2 linked regions of the Kluyveromyces lactis genome follow. The protein of the gene in region 2 interacts with the protein of the main gene of each other region in a pairwise test. Links are inferred from orthologs where the notes say so. Each region holds a gene or a part of one and is shown on either strand. Other genes may lie near its edges.

Region 1 (2,910 bases), on a different chromosome or scaffold from region 2:
CATAAATTTGTTCAAAATGGACTAGCTCTTCCACTGGAGCATAGCTTATAAATACTTGAGCTTCTTCTACGGTAGAGTCAATATCATCCAGTTCTAAATAGAGCACAATATCATTAGTTCTAAGATCAATATCAAAGTGAGCATTTCTATGGTCATTGTCATGATTAACAAAGTCCAATAACGGGACCAAAGTTGGGCTGACAAAAAAATCATCAGTATCCTCTCCGGAGGATTCGGGTATCTCCAATATTCTGGAGATAACACTACAATAAACAGTGGATATTAATTTTTCATAGTTCATACCTAGAAACCTCGCTGATATGAAACGGTTTATAATTTCAATGAACAGTTGTTGAGGAAAGTTCAAGTACTCTTTGTAATATTGGTTCCACTTATCGGCATCTTCTTGAAAAGTATTGCAGGGAAGTGGGACAAAAGTCTTTAAAAGAACTTCGTTCAAGTAAAAAGATGCGAATCCAGTAAGTTTGTAAGTTTTATTATCTGAAAGAATAGCCTTTAGGACCAAATATATCACTATCAGGTTCGTTTCATTGATAAATGCGTGGTGATTTTCATCGCTTAAGAAAGCTGTCAAGTGGCCCTTTATGGAAGCAGTAACCGCATTTTCTGATGTACTTTTAGCCAATATGTCTCGTATCGATGTCATTGATATAGTAGCAGATCTCGGAATCCTGAGAAGTTCAAACTTACTGTCTTTCTCTCCTTTAAGTGTTCTTAATTTGGTGAAATTGACAAACACACCGTAACCGCCGGTGTCTCCATCAACCACTGACTCTCTGATAGTAGTACATTCACTCTTGGTTATGGGAGTATTCTCTAGTAGCCATTCAGTTGCTGCTTCCATCTTATATTGCTGTTTGTTTATGCTTGTTTATGGATATTATTGCATCATAATAATGGTACTCAAGCAAGCAGGATACTTTTTATATAATTCCATTGATATGACATAGAAGAAACGAAGCAAAAGGTTTTACAGTTTAATTTAGGTCAGGTTTGAGAGTTGATTTAAGTAGGGTGTATATATTGAGTAGTGCTTTGCAGTTGCACTTCGAGTCGCTAGTGATATGTTCCCAGAGGTATCTTAAATATGATCACGTGCTTCTAGATGAACCATGACTCCCCTACTGCAGTCTTCTAAAAGATAAAACTTAGGATTACCGTAATAGCAATTCGCTGTACACGATAACAACTGACAAGGGACTCGCTGATTGATATTTTAATTATCCCTTTCATTTTTACATTCTTGACAGCATCGCATGTCATCTTTACCTTTTCGAAAAGAAACTATTCTTTAAATTTGATGCAAACCTGCATTTGGCGAGCTCATCACTACTTTAGAATAGATTCGAGGAAGTTTCAAAGAGATAAACAATAGTTATTAGTTGGGCTTTATTAAACCAGCAACAACACTCTATTTTAGTCTGCAATGGTCCAGGTTGTTAAATTAAGTGCATTATCCAAGAAACGTGCAGTCGATGAGGAATCTGATCTTGACATATCAAGTACAGACTCAAATATTTCAGACCAAGAAAACGGTCAAGAGGAACAAGAAATCATCAACATCGATTTTGATTTCTTCAATGGTAATCCCGACGTTGATTTCCATGCTTTGAAGAATCTGATGCGTCAGTTGTTTGGACCACAGGAATCGAACAGAATTCAACTAAGTGAATTGGCAAATTTAATCTTGGACTCACCAACTACTACCATCAAAACCGATGGTAAGGAGTCTGACCCATACTGTTTCCTATCATTTATCGATTACAAGGCCAACAAAGATAGTGATTATGCCAAATATCTTCGTAAAGTTGACCCCAAGCTAGCTACTTTCCTACAAACTATAGATCAATCGGAGAAGACTTGTTCGTTAGTCTTGAGTGAAAGATTGATTAATATGCCACCAGAAGTTGTGCCGCCATTGTACACTATCACATTAGAAGATGTGAAGCTTGCGCTTGGGGATGATAAAAACTATGATTTCTACCTAATCGTTTCAAGGAAGTACGAAGTGAATTTTGATATGGACGAAGACGATCTAACATCGAACCAAGCTGTCCGCAAGAAGGTAAGACAAACAAACGAAGTAGACTATTTCCATGAAGAAGATCGTTTCCTTGAAAAGCTAGCCAAAGTCCATGTGGATTCCGAGGCGAGAAAGGGTCTTATTACATCGTACATGGTTTTGGACCATGCTGGACTAATTAAATCCATCGAAGATCTAGATGCGGCCATCAAGACCTGGTGAGTGATGTAAATGTTCAGTAGTTACATTGAGGAAGGTGATGATGGTATGTGGATTAATCCCGTTCTGGGAACCCAACAATTAACGCACGTGACCTGATCTTTAGTTACCCTCCTTACATGATTTCGGCCTCCCAAAAGAAAAAAAAATCTTTCAAGGAACAAAAAAATTGCTGAACAACATGAAATACGTACTTATATAGTAGAAATCGAGAAAACAAGCCGTAATACGGTAACAGAACAGGACCGTGAGAACACTATTCGACTCAGTTTCAAAAGTACCTGACACAGAAAAGCCTTGTTTGGTTGGACGATCCTGTTGTTTGTACAGAAGCGTGCTGTTTCCGAGACAAGCCCTCGCTAAAAGAAAAATCAGAGGACCCAGTTTCCTTTTTTTTTTTTTGGATATTTTCCTATCACTTGCCATTCAGACCGAAAGTTATATTTTTTCAACGTGACAGATATTCACAGAACATCTAATAGAAAGTAAGGATTTCAAGGCGATGAGCAGTGCAAGCAAAGGGAATGCTACTGGAAGTAAGAGCCCAGAGCAGCTCTTAGAGGAGAGACGGCACTTGCTAGTACAATTGTACTGTATCTCACAAATTACCGAGTTAAAAAACGTGGAGAATCATGAGAGAATAGGGA
Region 2 (4,105 bases):
TGATTGATACAACAACTAAAGATGGTGATATCAATTTTTAAAAGAATCAGTGAAATCTATTTCGTTATCGTAACCAACTTCTACCACAGGTGCAGGATCTTGCGCCTTCTTGGATTTACACGCACCCCCACAGCATCCCTTGTTCTTCTTCACTGGCATGCCAAATTCGTCCAGTTTCTTACTGGAACATCCACCATTCTTACCACCACAGCATCCCTTCTTTTTCTTGGGTGTTTCATTCTCTAGTTCATCACCACTCTCAGATACTTCCAAACTATGCTTCTTGAGGATGAAGAAGCTTATAATTAGAGCTAGAGATATGGAGACTCTACCACCAGATAACAGATAGCAAAGTACAACACCGGAGAGTACCGCACCAGATGGAATTTTGTTAAACAAAGCTACGCTAGAATCTGATATCACACTCATTGTCGGCCTAATATTCTGCGATGTATGGATTTGTGTCCTTAATAAGAGATCAAAGTGTAGTAAGCGAAAAAGACTAGTAGAATCAAACACCCGAAAAAAACAGTAAAGTCTTAACAGCAACCTGCGAAACCTCGTTAGCGTGATTTGAGCTTCTATTAAATCTATTCCGAATAGACAAATACCTTGCTGTCGAAATCGAGTACTGGAACGTATTTTGGAACTGTCGTTTAAATACTCATACTGTTACATAGAATCAAGATGTCAGACCAGTTCAGTCGATGGTTCCGAATTATTCTTTTCTTTTTTTGCATTTGAAGTCACGTGATTTTGTTATTGCTCACTCAGCAGGCAATTAAATGGGCACCCAAGCCGGAGAGGTCATAATATCTTAAAATCTTTATCGAGTGTTTAGGAGTAGTGGATGTCTATGCACTTTGTAAATACTGGCACAGAATTCGAAGCGGATGATTCCATGAGGAACGTCTCATTATTGATAAAAGTTGCGATACAGTCCATGGTTTTCACTGAGATTCTATCGTTACCATTGGGGAAGAAATAGTTATGTAGACTTTTTCCTGCGTTAGAAATTTGAGAGTCTTCGGTGTAATGTGAGAAGTAATTAGTAAATTGATCTTGTACCCAGAGGTATTCGGAAGCTTCTTTGCTGCGTGCGAGCTTTTGAGTTCTCACCATCAACCAGGCGACTGCATATTCAAATTCATCTATTAAATCTGCCGGTGCGGCATTGTTGGTTTGGTCGTATAGTTCGTGATAGTCTTTCTGAAAATCCCGGTCATGTTTCATAATGCTCTTTATGCTTGCTAGATATGGTTTGTAGGCAGTCAGTATGTGTTTTTGTAACCTCTTTATATTATTGATAGAATCCTTTAGAATCGAGATTTGCCCGGATTTGTAAATCGCCGCACATTGTTTCCTATATTCACATGTAGCATAATCCTTTTGTGATTCCAATGGTTCTGCATCAATTATTAGGTACAATTTTTGTTTCAATGCATTCTTCAACGATTGTAGTGCTGTCAGTTGGCATCTTAATGATAGTGCACTTTCATTATCGTTTTTACTCAGAAGTGAGAAAAGATCCATTAACGGTTTCAAATTTTCTAGATCAGCATTGATAAAATAAAGGATTCCATCAGCAAAATTTTCCAGGGCTTTCAATGGTTTGGTATCGTTTGTCTTTTTCTGGTTTCCACGGGTATCCTTTACTGTATCGAAAGCGTAAGTTGTGTAGTCATCAAATGTTGGAAGGTATACAGAACCATCTGCTAAAATCTTCTCAACTACTGGTAAAGGCAACTTGAGTTTCAATGCAAGGTTATCGAATTCGTTCCCATCGACTACGAATCCATATCCATATAATAACTCTTCGTTTCCTTTAGCACCGTAATTATTGCATATTTCAGTTCCTTTTGAAACTGGTTCGAGTTTTTCAAATATAAAACTTCCTTCACTGGAACATGACCACTGAATCTTTGATCTATTCTCATGGTTTAAAAGGTCTAATACTGGTAATAATATCACATTATATTCATCACAATATGGGTTTATTACTCTCTCTGGGAACGCTCTTGAAGTAAACATTAGATGAGACCATAAGAACGCTGGAAAAGAGAAGAAGTCCAAAATCTTCTCAGAAAATACTTTACTCGTTATTTGCTCGTATATTTCATCAATACTGAGCTGTTCAATGTTGTACTGTCGCGTTTGAAAAGAAGTCCCCTCTATGACATTCCACCATTCGTCGTATATCGATTGTAGCTTTTCCTTTAGAGATGTGTAAAGGTTTGTCCCATTCAGCAGAGCAAGCTCAGATGGATTCCATCCCAACGGAGAATCTACCTGTGATGGTAAAGCCATAATGTATGGTCTGAATAGCTTTGTGATGTTTTCATTATCCAAAATGATCATCTCATCTGAAAACTTTAGCTTGCTCAAAAACAGTTTCAACCATGTATTGTGATGTTCTTTGCTTTTCACTTGATCTCTAAAGTGTTTGTTCGAAAGATCCTTGGTAATTATCAGATGGCTGGGCAATTGAAAGACAGCTTGCTCTATGTCATCACTAGCAATGCAACAGATACCCTTCCCCTCCACGTTCTTAAATCCAACATTTTGTGGAAGTGAAACTCCATTGTCCTTGGCAAATGCCAGCAATTGGTCCAATTTATCCATTATTAATATATCTTTGTCGTGTAGCTTTCGAAACTTGAGCACTTGATAGGCATTCCCCTGGATCAAGATAGTTGTCCTCCTTGAAGTTTACGGCTCATCTCATGTGCATCAGTAATCTATCGTAAATATTACGCTAATGCGTGTGGTAGGGTAACTTTCATTTTTTTCCTTAAGATCTGCGAGCTGAATCATCACTACCATGGCGTAAAGAGCCGATTTGAGGCCTCTTTATTCCTCTTGATCTATAGTTTCCCAACGGATTACTTCGACCAAGTTCGTGCTACCCTAAATACACTGAAATTTCTTCACTGATAACTATGGATTCAATTTAAATGATGAAAGTTTATTTCTGGTCAAACATGATTACTACATGACATAGCGCCTACAGTAAAAACTCATGCTAGAACGGGGACACGATAAGTCCATCAAGAATCAAAAAGACCCATTATGCATATCATACAAATGACAAAAGTGAAAAGCAATCACCTAGCCTTGACAACTATAGCTTTATACTAGATCTATCGCGGTCTATGTCTTTCTACGTCTTCTTCTGCTTCACTATAATGGATTCCGTTTGTTTACCTTTGGAGAGGGAAAATGTAAATAATGAAATGAATCTGATTCAGGTTAAAGAACGTCACCTTGAAGAGTGTAAAACTGTGTCATAAAGCCAGGTCAAGATCCGACGGCGGATGTGCAACGGTACTATCAGACATCAAGATTAATATATTGAACATGAGACCATCGTTATCGAGGGATGCAAGTGATACAGGAAGAAGGCATTCATTGTTACAGCAGAGTAAACTATTATCGATAAGACTAAGTAATGCAGGAAAACGACCTAGCTTATCACGAGGACACGCACATGAAAAAGACTCGATTACCTCGTCTCATCATAGGTTGAGCACTGGACCAGTGAACAACAATCCTAGAAGATCGCTAATGGTAAAGAAACCCAACACCGCGCATGGTACCCGCGTACCAATATTGAATGATCACAACGATAAGTTTGAAAACATGACACTTCAGGACTTTGAAATAGGTAAGATCTTAGGTAAAGGTAAGTTTGGTAAAGTTTATTGCGTTAAACATAGGGAAACGGGGCTAATTTGTGCTTTAAAAGCGATGGAAAAGAAGGAAATTGTTCAATATACAATTCAGAAACAGTTCAGGAGGGAGGTAGAAATTCAGGGTTCGTTCAAACATAAAAATCTGACACAGCTATATGGATTCTTTTACGACGAAAAACGGGTTTATCTACTTATGGAATATGTCTATTACGGAGAACTATATAAATTTTTGAAGAATAACGGGCCTTTGAATGAGACGCTGGCATCCTATTTTGTTTATCAAATGGCTAATGCCTTGGATTATATGCATAGTAAAAACATATTGCATAGAGATATAAAACCGGAGAATATCTTAATTGGTTTCAACAACACTATCAAACTGACAGATTTCGGTTGGAGTGTATATAACGAGG

Evidence for each region.
Region 1: the proteins of RKM1 (region 2) and BCP1 interact in binary tests that used the Saccharomyces cerevisiae proteins (3 or more experiments, as listed by UniProt). The link is inferred for Kluyveromyces lactis from reciprocal best matches to the Saccharomyces cerevisiae genes RKM1 and BCP1.

The regions. Positions count from the first base shown.
Region 1 is NC_006041.1:1,911,484-1,914,393, forward strand, and holds BCP1 (protein-transporting protein BCP1), read left to right. Parts: upstream 1-1,447; coding exon 1,448-2,266; downstream 2,267-2,910. Other genes in the region: CTM1 (cytochrome c lysine N-methyltransferase), read right to left, coding at 1-865; EAF1 (Eaf1p), read left to right, coding at 2,766-2,910. UniProt on the Saccharomyces cerevisiae protein: Involved in nuclear export of the lipid kinase MSS4 and of the 60S ribosomal subunit. May also play a role in directing MSS4 to the plasma membrane. Plays a role in actin cytoskeleton organization and vesicular transport.
Region 2 is NC_006038.1:207,201-211,305, reverse strand, and holds RKM1 (protein-lysine N-methyltransferase), read right to left. Parts: upstream 2,623-4,105; coding exon 838-2,622; downstream 1-837. Other genes in the region: KLLA0_B02376g (uncharacterized protein), read right to left, coding at 31-429; IPL1 (aurora kinase), read left to right, coding at 3,358-4,105. UniProt on the Saccharomyces cerevisiae protein: S-adenosyl-L-methionine-dependent protein-lysine N-methyltransferase that monomethylates ribosomal protein S18 (RPS18A and RPS18B) at 'Lys-48' and dimethylates ribosomal protein L23 (RPL23A and RPL23B) at 'Lys-106' and 'Lys-110'.